Callithrix jacchus: one gene and its partners. Each later gene encodes a partner of the first gene's protein in a complex. Links are inferred from orthologs where the notes say so. Each region holds a gene or a part of one and is shown on either strand. Other genes may lie near its edges.

What was found. Proteins that work in one complex are often made in the same cells at the same time.
Region 2: SNRPF (region 1) and RBM48 share a complex: the UniProt entries of both Homo sapiens proteins name them as parts of the minor spliceosome. The link is inferred for Callithrix jacchus from reciprocal best matches to the Homo sapiens genes SNRPF and RBM48.
Region 3: SNRPF (region 1) and GEMIN2 share a complex: the UniProt entries of both Homo sapiens proteins name them as parts of the SMN-Sm complex. The link is inferred for Callithrix jacchus from reciprocal best matches to the Homo sapiens genes SNRPF and GEMIN2.

The regions. Positions count from the first base shown.
Region 1 is NC_133510.1:98,938,730-98,943,540, forward strand, and holds the start of SNRPF (small nuclear ribonucleoprotein F), read left to right. Parts: upstream 1-1,687; 5' UTR 1,688-1,816; coding exon 1,817-1,819; intron 1,820-3,752; coding exon 3,753-3,878; intron 3,879-4,811. UniProt on the Homo sapiens protein: Plays a role in pre-mRNA splicing as a core component of the spliceosomal U1, U2, U4 and U5 small nuclear ribonucleoproteins (snRNPs), the building blocks of the spliceosome.
Region 2 is NC_133512.1:57,086,921-57,090,207, forward strand, and holds part of RBM48 (RNA-binding protein 48), read right to left. Parts: intron 3,023-3,287; coding exon 2,877-3,022; intron 1,026-2,876; coding exon 457-1,025; intron 1-456. UniProt on the Homo sapiens protein: As a component of the minor spliceosome, involved in the splicing of U12-type introns in pre-mRNAs.
Region 3 is NC_133509.1:73,782,944-73,786,958, forward strand, and holds part of GEMIN2 (gem-associated protein 2), read left to right. Parts: intron 1-552; coding exon 553-642; intron 643-1,075; coding exon 1,076-1,135; intron 1,136-4,015. UniProt on the Homo sapiens protein: The SMN complex catalyzes the assembly of small nuclear ribonucleoproteins (snRNPs), the building blocks of the spliceosome, and thereby plays an important role in the splicing of cellular pre-mRNAs.

The sequences.
Region 1 (4,811 bases):
AGTCTATACAAAGACTTAACATTCATGAAACAATAGGCAAACTAAAGGAGAAATCCACTGAAGTTTAGGGTGAATACCTTCTGATAACCTGTTTGGTAAAAACTACACTGAAAATCACTGTCTTGTCAGTGTTCAACATTTATGTGAATAATAATATTTAACGTCTACTGAGCCTTTACAAGGCCAAGCCCCAGCCAGGCTGAGATGGTTCCGTTTTTGAAGCTGCATTCCTGCCCAGGAAACAATGGCCCTCAGTGGTTCAGACACTGCTTAAAACCGGCGATAGAGGCAAGTTCGAATGCAGTCCCTCTCCAAAGTCTTACCCACTGCTCCACAATGCCTCAATACCAAACATTTCACACTCAATTCCAAATCCATCTCTTCAGGGCTGCAAAAAAGCCTCACTTCCCAAAGGGCGAGTTCTCCAAACACTGCATTTAGCATTTCGGATCCGGGTGAGTTGAACTCACTAGGATTACGAGAAAAACTAGTGAAATTCAGATACGACCATTAACATCGAAAGTTTTAATCCGTGAAATACTGCTTACGCCCTTAAGTAATTTCAAATGCACATAAGATGGCCATGCGGGTCTCTGCTGGAGATGCAAAAGAAAGGTGAGCAAACTTAATCAATTATGGCTTTCAGATTTTAGTTAATGGAGGAAATAGCAAGTTTCCACTTGTCATAATTACAGGCATCACTATCATTCTATCATTATTCTAGCACTAATGAAAGACCTCAAGAACATATAAAGCAGCAGTAAAGGGTGCTAAGAAATGACAGTGTGGTCACGTCAACTTGCCCCATGTTACATCCAGGGTGTCAGGGTTCAAACCAGGTCTGTCTGGCTCTAGAACAATTGTTCTCTGCTACCTCCAAATCCTGTGTATATGTTTTCACTAAACTATTTTGTTGTTTATAGATCTGAATTGGAAGCTGTTGAGTACCCTGAACTTAGCAACTAACTGATATAAAGGTATCCCTTATAGAAATCTCAAACTAATTCTTCATTCCTTTCAGGAAGAAGAGTCTTAAGAATATGCATTATAAAACATGTTTCAATAAAGTTATTGAAAAAGAAAAAGAAAGGTGGGAAGTTGGCGGGGGGGCATAACACTGTATACTAGACGCAACCTGACATCGTTTGAAAGAAATTCTGTCCCCTACTCCCTTCGGTGAGATTCGCCGTCCCTAATCTAGTCTGGCTACCCCACACTCCCGATTCCTTTAAAAGGGGTTGAAATGGATGTTGCATTAAAGAAAACCCTCCTGCAGAAAGGACCTGAGGCAGAGACTCCCCTGAATTCTGGAACATGTTGGAAGAGTGAGAAAGGAACTCTGGGACTCCGAACTTATTCTCACGGGTGTAAAAGGACAGAGTAAATCCCCATTAGCCAAGCTGGGGAGAAGTCACATCCGCACATTCTAAAGGGCACACAGCCTCTCCCGGACCGTCCCTAGAAGAGGGGCAGCACATTTAGAAACACTGGCGGGCCTCTAGTCCTTGGCTGCCTCGCGGCGACCCTCAGAGCGGGTTTCCCAAGGCTCAAGCTCCTCTGGCAAGGCGCAAATCGACACCACTGCTGGTTGCTAGGAGATACTGCCCCGCCACCTCCTCCAATCAGCACGCATCTCTTTGCGTCCAATCACAAAGGCCAGAAGGGCCGTGGTGGGAGGTGAAAGGTCATACTCTTGTTTGGCGGCCATTTCTCTTGAAGCTCGGCGGTTCGGGACTTCGGGATCGGCTGGAGTCACGAGGGACGAGCGGCGGCCTGGTTGGCAGCGAATAGCCTGCAGCATTCGCCCGTGGTTACGATGGTAAGGAGAAAGAGAACCGGGGGAGAAGCGGGGAGAAAGAGGAGGGAAACCAGTCTCGCGGGGCCTGATGGTTGCTTCGCGCGTTTCTCATTCATCCGCGTGAGGCGCCGCGCACCCGGTCGCCAGCTCCTTTCACGCTGCCCTTGGGGTTTCTGAGGCGCGTGCTCCTCCCGTTGCCTTTCTGTTTCTAGGAGTGCCCGTGCTGTCTCCTCTTTGTTTGAATCCGAGCCTGGGGTATTTTTGGTTGGGGCTTCAGGGTCGGCGTAAAACTGAAAGAGAGTGCACTTCTCACTTCTCTCCAAAATTCACTTTAATTCCTTGAAAGTAATATTACAGCCATGCTCTAGATTAACTCAGTCGGGTGGGGAAGACAGACCTTAGTCAAAAACCAACAAATATGCAATTGCAAATAACAAGTGCTAAGAAGCATGTAGACCGGAGGCTGTGAGGGTGCACGTTAGACATTACAGGCTTAGTCAGAGATGGCCTCCCTAGGAGGTGGAATTTAACCAGAGACCTAAGTGTCCTGAAATACCACCCTTTAAAGAGCAGGAGGAGTGTACCGAGCACAGGGAATAGGAGCGTAAGACCTGCAGCCGGAAAGAAAGCTTGGTCAGTTGGAGAAATTGACAGAAAGGTACAGCCACTTGCAAGAATGGTGGCTTCTAATTCAATTAGAAGCCATTGAATCATTTTAAGCAGACATATGACATAATTTTATGTGCACTTTGAAAAATAACAGTTGCCGTGGTGGATAATAAATTGGAGAATGTAAACTGGAGATCCATTAGGTTATTGGAGTAGCACCATGCCAAGATCACTCCCAATATGCTTATCTTAGTTTAGTAGCCAAGTTTCTTAGTTCTGTTTTTTCTTTGACTGGTGAGTGAGCAGATTAGGGCCCAAAAAAGTCTGAATTCACTGGAGATGCTAATGGTTTGTTGAATAAACAAACATTAAGTGATTGCTGTAAAGTCAGATAGGACCTAGCCCTACCTTCCACAGTTAAAGACTGTCAAGTGTGATCTGCCCTCTGCTTCCTTCTGCAGTCTTATATTAGGGGCTTTGACTGACAATGCTGAATTCTTTGTATATCCCCAAAATCATGTTGTTCTCTTCCCTCCTTTTACTTAAGTTGCTACCCTTGCCTGGAGCAGCATCTGCCCCCCCCCCGGAAATAAACTCTTATCCTTTAAAACTGAGATATTACTTAAGGCAACCTTTCCTTTTCTGTGGATTGCTGTGGTACCCTTGTGCCTAGCATATCTCCTCTTACTACATTGCAGTATGCAATATAATTATTTGTATGTGAGGAGCTCCCCTCCCTATCTCCAGCTTCTTGACAGGGACTGTTACTTGTTTATTTATTTTTAAGAGACAAAGTGTTGCTCTTGCCCAGGCTGGAGTGCAGTGGCTTGATCATAGCTCACTGCAGCCTTGAACTCCTGGGTTCAAGCAGTTCCCCCACCTTATCCTCCCTAGTAGCTGGGACTACAAGTGTGTACCATCACACCTAATTATTTTTGGTAGGAATTGGGGGGGGTCTCCCTATGTTGCCTGGGTTGGTCTTGAACTCCTGGCTTCAGGTGATTTCCGTGCCTTGGCCTTCCAGAGTGCTGGAATTACAGACACGTGCCTGGCCAGCATTTTTTTTTTTTTAGTGGCTTTATCTTTGCTTCTTTCAAGCTCAGAACAGTGAGTGATGTAGGTAGTCAGTGTTATCTTAAGTGAATAGTGAGTATTTTGTTTTGATGGGTTAAAGGTGAAACTGGCTAACTGGATATTTAAATTTCCCTGGTACTCATCTTCAACAAATAAAAGTGAAAATTATGTTTTCTTCATTTGCACACCAGAAAATATTGGTGATTTGGTAGAAGGGATTTGGTGGTGGGAGGAAAAGAATTAATTGGATCCTTTTTTGTTCTTTGTGCAGAGTTTACCCCTTAATCCCAAACCTTTCCTCAATGGACTAACAGGAAAGCCAGTGATGGTGAAACTTAAGTGGGGGATGGAGTACAAGGGCTACCTGGTATCTGTAGATGGCTACATGAACATGCAGGTAAGCTGTAAAGGTTATAACATGGCATTGATTTTGCTTCACCTTATTCCTCAAAGGTTTAGTCTGACTAATAAGAATACATACAATTAAGTTGACAAATATATGGCAAAATTCAAAAATAAAGTCAAGGCCAGAGAGGATACCGTGATGTACTAGGTACAAGACATGGGCTTAAACCGGAATTCAGCCACAGATTTTATTCCTAGGAGTTAAAGTAAGAAGAGCTCAGACGTTCAATTCATAATAATACCATAAGGGAAACACGCTACTTTGCTGGAGAAAACAAAACTTTTACCATCATTTAGCCCTGAAAGAAAGTTTTCAAGTGAAATTTTTGAGTCTTTTAATGAATGCTAAAGGTACAACACCAAGCTATTAAAGAAATTCATTCCTTCAAGGGAAAGACAGATCTGCCAAAGGAATTGAACTGACTGTATGTCAGTTTCTGTAAATGATTTAGCCATGTGTTTTGGTAGGGTTTTTTGTAATTTTCTTTTTATTGTGGTCAAACATACATTAAAATTTTACCATTCTAACCATTTTTAAATGTGTAATTCAGTGGCATTAAGTATCTTCACACTGTTCTGCAACCATCACCACTATCCATTTCCAGAACTTTTTTTATCATCCCAAAGTGAAATTCTTTGCCCATTAAACAATAATTTTCCATTCCTTTCTCTACCTAACTAACCCCTGGTAACCACTATTCTACGTGTCTATGAACTGTGCATAATACCTCATATAAGTGGAATCGTATATTTATCCTTTTGTGTCTGGCTTGTTTTACTTAGCGTAGTGTTTTATTCAAGGTTCATCCATGTTGTAGCATGTGTCAGAATTCCATTCCTTTTTTAATTGAATAATATTTCATTATATGGATATACCACCTTCTGTTCCATTTGCCTCTTGGTGGATGCTGGGTTGCTTCCCTCT
Region 2 (3,287 bases), on another chromosome or scaffold:
GAAATCTCATCACCTATTGCTCTTTATCACAAAAGCAAATTAAGCATTTTGAATTTTATATAAATGTAATAACTCTAACTTTGAGAGAAATAATTTATAATACTTTTCCTTCTTAACTCTGGCTCATATTAGAACTATCTAAGGAGCTTTTAACAAAAATGGCAGGTCTGGGCTCCACTCTCAGAGATTGATTTAAATGGCTGAAACCACTGCTTTAATATTTTGTATCTACAGTGACATAAAATGTTCATTGTTTAAGCAAGTCTTAACAGTATCAAAGCAAATAAAAATGTGAGCCAAATTCAATTATTTCAACAGAGAACCGTAGAAAAACACGTCAAAAAACTAAAAGGTGAAAAAAAAATTACTATTGTTCCCACAAATAATTCTCCATTTAGTTAGTCCTGTAACCAAATCGTCTCTTAGAACAGTTTTTTTTTTAAAAAATAACCTTACCTCTTTAAGTTTATTCCGAATTAAATTTGCCGTTGTATTCAATGAGTCATCATGCATATCCACTTTAGATATGTCTGGTAACAGAGGTCCAATCATAACCTCATTACTACTTGGGTTTGTTTCAAGAAAAGTTCCAAGTTTACGATCATCTTCTCGTCTTCTTTTGCGCTCCTGCAGTTGTGTTGTCCTAGGCATAAATCTGTCAACTGCCTCTGAAGGAATAATAGCCTTTCGTGCACCCTGGCAGTCTACTGAGTTTTTGAAAGGGTTTATCTGTGTTTTCTGCAAAGAGTCACTGTGGTTATAATGCTCCATTGTTTTATCATGGTTTCTACCATACTCAGAGGAGTTTGATGCTCTATCTACATGCTTCCCAGATGAACACATACATTTTGAGGAGAAATAACATAAAGGCAATTCACAGGAATATGGAAGATAAGGATATGAGTTCCCTGCAGAAGTGTTCAGAGCAGTTGTACAAAATCCAGACATCTCTGAGTGGAAGTCTTGTCTAAAATCCTCTGTGTCTTTATGCTCTGTAACCAATTTCTTCTTTGTCACATAATGGTCTTTTTATTACAATTTAAAAGGTGAGAGAAAGGAAAACAGAGGTAGTTTATTGTTTGCATCATTCAGAATCATATAATTTTAAAAATCACTTAAAAATGGTAACAAATTCTACACCAAAAAATCTATTTCTTGAGAAGGGAATATATTCATGTGGTTTAAAACCTAAAATGGATAAAAAGATATGTAGCATCAAGTGTCACCCTTTCCTTGCTCTCCATGGGCCTGGTTTCATCCCATAAGTAAGCGCTATTGTTCTTTATTTATCTGTTCAATATGCCTTACTTTGCTTCCTCCTACCTCCCATTCTTTTTCTCCCCACTAAAAAAGGTAACCTGTAATATGTACTTCTTCTGCACCTCTGTATTTTCCACTTCACTGTAGATCTTATATAGTTTTTCCATATCATTATATACAATCCTTTTTTTTTGCAATTTCAGAGTATTCCAGTCATGCTGCCTAGCCTGTGTTTGTTAGTTATTAAAGAAAGCAATATGTGTGGCTTACTTCTAGGGCTGGAAAGGACCTCTTCCCTGGTTTACTCTCCCAAAAGCAGACTAAAACATCAGTGGGGTGCGGAAGATGTGGTAAAGATGAAATTGGCTATCTGTTGATGATAGTTAATGTTAATACACGGGAGGTATGTTATCTTAGTTTTTCTACCTGTGTGTTTTGAAATTTCATTAATAGAAGTTTTTGAAAAGACCAAATATACAATTATGTGTAGATGCTAGAATGCTGCAGATAAAATAGAGCTTAACTAAAGTGTTCAAGGCCAAAAAAGTCATAGTTTAACAACAATGAATCTAATTCCGAGGGGGCAGGGCAAAAAGGTCTTAAGGGTAAGGGGAGCAAATAATGAAGATAATGCTAGGCCACCACTAACATTGAGATGATTAAAGCAGTTTAAAAGTAAGCTCTGGACAGGGAGTCCAAAGCTTGGGTTTTAATCCTTATTTTTGTCCTTAATTTATCTCTAGTAATATAGGCCAGTCACAAACTCTGAGACTCAGCTTCCTCACCAAGAAGTAGGACACAGGTCAGATAATGTCAAAGGTCTTCCTCCACACTAATATTTTATAATTTCCTTTCCGTTTTCTATTTTTTTTTTTTTTTTGTATATTTTATAATTTCCTTTGCCACACAAATATACAAATTTTCCTGGTGCTATTTACATATCTTACAAATTAATGTCTACAAATGACTGGGGATTCTCAACAGCTCTCTTGCCAGATTTCTGAGTAAGTTTTCCAAGAGTTTTCTCACTTTATTTCTCTCTACCACTATCTGGTAGAAGGGGCATGTGGGGCATTTATGCGGTTGCTTGGTCAAAAGTAGAACTTCTCCACGATTAGCAGTGACAATTAGTCTGCAAATCACAACTGCCCACTGCATTCTGGTCAAAGCCTTAATTCCTTAGCAGGGACACAAGGCCCTTCGTGATTTACTTCCTATCCACTATTCTAAACTTATCTGTCACTGAAACCTCTGGGCTTTGATTATATTGTATGAGTTAAAGTTTCTTAAATACATGATGCTCATTTATTCCTCTAAGCATTTAAACATCCTGCCTGGCTTGCCTTTCCATCTTTTCCTCTCCCTTCTAAGTAATGTCTACTTATCCTTCAAAATTCAGCCACTTCTAACAGACTGGATGAAGTCTTCTATGAACCAATATTTCTCCCTTCTCAACCCAGATTATGTAGTACGCTGCAGAGAACTCTGTGGTTTACACTTACTGAATACTGTGATGATTTACTTGCCTCTCTTCCCACTAGACTGGGAACTGCATGATGACACACTTGGCAGAGTGCCTGACACACAGAAGGCATTTAGCAATATGCTTTCCATACCTCTATTTTTAGTAGTTCTTACTACATATGCCTTTCGCACTGCTAGTTTTTTTCTAGTTTCTTCAACTGTTTCAAATTCTGGAGCATAGCACACATGAAGCAATCCACCGAAAAAACTCTGTTCATCCATTTTTCTCTTGGCTGTCCTGAATGGAAATACAAGATAGCATGGTTTTTTTAAATCCAGATTTACTTACAAATGAGAGCTTAACTAGTATACAATACCTGGAGCTAAAGCCAAAGTCCAGCTTTTGCAATGTGTATGTATATATCCTGTGGACTGGGAATCAAGATGCTCTGTTTGTGGATGGTATTCATACCACCCATCCAGTATGTACTCTTAGAGCCTTCTCTTCCCTTTAAACCTCTTGGATTTGTTCCCTAGTCTTTAAGCAACTAAGGACCCAGCTG
Region 3 (4,015 bases), on another chromosome or scaffold:
TCCAAGTATAAGCCTTTCCAGATTTCTCTTATTAAATTGACTAAGGCTCTTTCCCTAATGTTTTTAACTGGGATATAAATAAATAGAAAAGTGAAATGTCTACTTTTTTACATCTGTAAGAAATATTTTCTTTCTTTCTTTTTTTTTTTTTTTTGCAACGGAATTTTGCTCTTGTTGCCCAGGCTGCGTGAAGTGGCATGATCTCAGTTCACTGCAGCCTCCACCTGCTGGGTTCAAACAATTCTCCTGCCTCAGCCTCCCTAGTAGCTGGGATTATAGGCACCCGCCACTATACCAGCTAACTTTTTGTAGAGACGGGGTTTCACTATGTTGGCCAGACTAGTCTCAAACTCCTGACCTCAGGCGATCCACTTGCCTCAGCCTCCCAAAGTGATGGAATACAGGCATCAGCCACTGCACCCGGCTGTATTTTATTTTTCTTGTCTAACCTTTATTATACACTTTATCTTGGTTTTACTTTTGCTTTGCAAAAGCATGAGATTCTAGTTTTGACACTAATATTAATCCTAGTATTTGTGACCTGATCTCTAGCTTTCAGGATGCCAACCCGCCCCTGAAGGTTATTCACCAACACTTCAGTGGCAACAGCAACAAGTGGCACAGTTTTCAACTGTTCGACAGGTAAAGTGTCATATTTAATCTAATTAAGCCCCTGTTGGATTTATTTCTATTCCTAGACTGTAGATAGAAAAATAAAATTTATGATCCTAAAGTATACAGAATATTCATGAATTACCAAGTTATTATAATTGTTAGACATAATACAGTTTGAAACATTGTATAAGTTTTATTTATTTTGTTTATTTCAATAGTTTTGGGGAACAGGTGAGTTTTGGTTACATGGTTGAGTTCTTTTGTAGTGATTTCTGAGCTTTTGGTGCACTCATCACCCAAGCAGTGTACTCTTTACCCAATAAGTAGACTTTTATACTTCACCCCCTCCCACCCTTCCCATTTTCCAAGTTTTAGATGGTTAAAATTTTGTGCAGAAACTGATTTCTTTTCAGTTACCCATTTTTTGAAGAGTACTAACGTATAACTTTTCTTCCTTTAGAATGTGAACAAACATAGAAGTCACTGGAAATCACAACAGTTGGATAGTAATGTGACCATGGTATGTAAGTTTCTCAGTTTTAAGTTGTACAATATATACTTGATTGAAAGAAACTACATTTACTTGCAGTCTTTAAAGATTCACTTCCTATTCAGTGTTATTTTCATTCTTTTCAATATACCATTAATAGTAGCAATTCCATTACATTAGTAGCCTGAAAAGTATAGATTTTCATGACAGTTTTTTTTTTTTTTGAGACAGGGTCTTGCTGTATCTCCCAGGGTGAAGTGCAGTTGCACAATCACAGCTTGCTGCAGCCTCAACCTCCTGGGCTCAAGTGATCCTCCCACCTCAGCCTCCCAAGTAGCGTAAACTAAAGGCACATACCACCATGCCCATCTAATTTTTAAAATATTTTGTAGAGGCGGGGTCTCCCTTTATTATCCAGGCTGGTCTCTTACTCCTGGGCTCAAGAGATCCTCCTGCCTTAGCCTCCCAGAGTGCTAGATTACAAGCATCAGCTACTGTACCCAGCCTTTCATGTCAATTTTAATTCACAATATCTTGGGGGACTTTGGATAGGTGACTGTTAAGCTTCTACAAGTTTTTAAGGATTCTTCTAGGCATTTACTTTCTAGGAAATTAATACATTTTTAATATTTATAAAAAGATTTAATAAAGACTTAATGGATTTTCTTGATGAGGTGATAGTACCATGCAGTAAACCCACACATTTACAGAACTTGTAAATGATTCTGCTTCTACTTAATGTGATGAGTCTGCATCACAATTCCAGTGACATATAAGTAAAGCCTGTCTTGTATACTGTCATGCATATGTCCTACATTTTATCTTTAAATATAATTTTAAGCTCTTCACTAGATATATCAGGACTACCAAATGAAAAAAGGAGTTGGAAAGATGATACATTGTCTCAGGACAGTAGTTTTTAACCTTTTAGGGGATTTCGTATTTTTTTCTGAGGACCTAATGAAAGCTCTTTATCTTCAGAGGGGAAAAAATGCACCTATGCACAAAATTTTAGTTTCAGGTAGTTCATAGATTTCAGATTTTAGAAGCTTCCTGTAGACAGTGCTTCTTGATATCTTTTACGGGGTGATGCATTAGAATAAATGACTGCTTGCATATTCTTCCTGAAACCAGCCGAAAGCTGAGAGATTCAGTATATGGCATCTCTCTATTCTTCTGCATACCATTTGGAAGCTCTGCTCCAGGAAAAGTGTTAAGGGAAGTAACTTATCACTTGCCAAAGGACATTTAACTCATAAAAGGTATAGCTAGTCCTTCTATCAAAGAAGCATGTGCACATACACACACAAAAAGTATGCTTAGGGTTCAAACTCAAGGCTGTCTCTAAAGCCTTTGTGCCTTTGACTATGTAATGGTGCCTTCCTAGTCAGAAGGGTATATGTATGTAGTAGGGACTGGGACAGGTAGGTAAATATATTTTTTTCTTACTCAGTGGAACGGCTTTTGGGTGCATGCCCACTAATTAAAAAAGAAGCCACGGCCAGGCAAGGTGGCTCACACCTGTAATCCCAGCACTTTGAGAGGCTGAGGCAGGAGGATCCGGAGGTCAAGAGATTGAGACCATCCTGGCCAATATAGTGAAATCTTGTCTCTACTAAAAGTTCAAAAATTAGCCAGGCATGATGGCGCACACCTGTAGTCCCAGCTACTCGGGAGGCTGAGGCAACAGAATCACTTGAACCCGGGAGGCAGAGGTTGCAGTGAGCTGAGATCATGCACTCCAGCCTGGTGACAGAGCAAGACTCTGACTCAAAAAAAAAAAAAAAGCCACGTCAGTAATATGACTTGATAAAATTTTGTCAAAAATGGAAATTACCTAACATAATTGATTCAATAAACTATGGCCCATCAGAACAGTGGAATATTATGTAGCAATTATAGATGTTTATCATGGCAAATGTAAACATCATACACATAATAAAATGAAAATATTTTAAAGTACACTCTGGGCCAGGCACGATGGCTCATGCCTGTAATCCCAGCACTTGGGGAGGCTAAAGCAGGCCCATCACCTGTACTCAGGAGTTTAAGACCAGCCTAGACAACATGGCAAAACCCCATTTCTATTTAAATTATTTAAAAAATAAATAAAGTACACTCTGATGGAAACTGTGTGAAAACATAAATATTAATTGATCCAATAATTTATTAAGCAGGTATTATATTTAATAATCAGGATATTTAGTACTAACTGAAACAGAAACAACTTCTGACCTAATGGAATGATAGGAAAAGATAGATACTTTGTTCCAAGACAATAGGGTTTAACTTTTTAGTGTCTCATGATCATCCTGAGGTTTTGTTTTATTTTATTTTATTTTGAGATGGGGTTTCACTCTTATTGCCCCGACTGGAGTGCAATGGCATGATCTCGGCTCATTGTAACCTCTGCCTCCCAGGTTCAAGCAATCAGCCTCAGCCTCCCGAATAGCTGGAATTAGACGCGCCCACCACTGTACCTGGCTAATTTTGTATTTTTAGTAGAGATGAGGTGTCACCATATTGGCCAGGCTGGTCTCGAACTCCTGACCTCAGGTGATCCATGCTGAGGATTTAATGAAAGCTATTTATTCCCGGGGAGGGGGGAATGTACCAATGCAGAGTAATGTGCAAGGTGATAGGTACAAATAAAAGTTGTTTTGTTAAGGAGATTATATTGAGCTGAATGCTTCTCCCAACTAGTCCTGCTTTTTCTGTCTGGCAGCAGAGAGTAGATCTGTTTCTTCTTGGATTGGACAGCCCTTCAAACATGTCAAATATGTAATCATGTCTCTGTATATGAGATAAACATCCTTCATTCCATTAAGCATTCTTGGTGCATTTTTTCCCCCGTACTTGTTTCTGTCTTTATCATTCTCTTTTGGACACACCCTTATCTGTCAGTGTCCA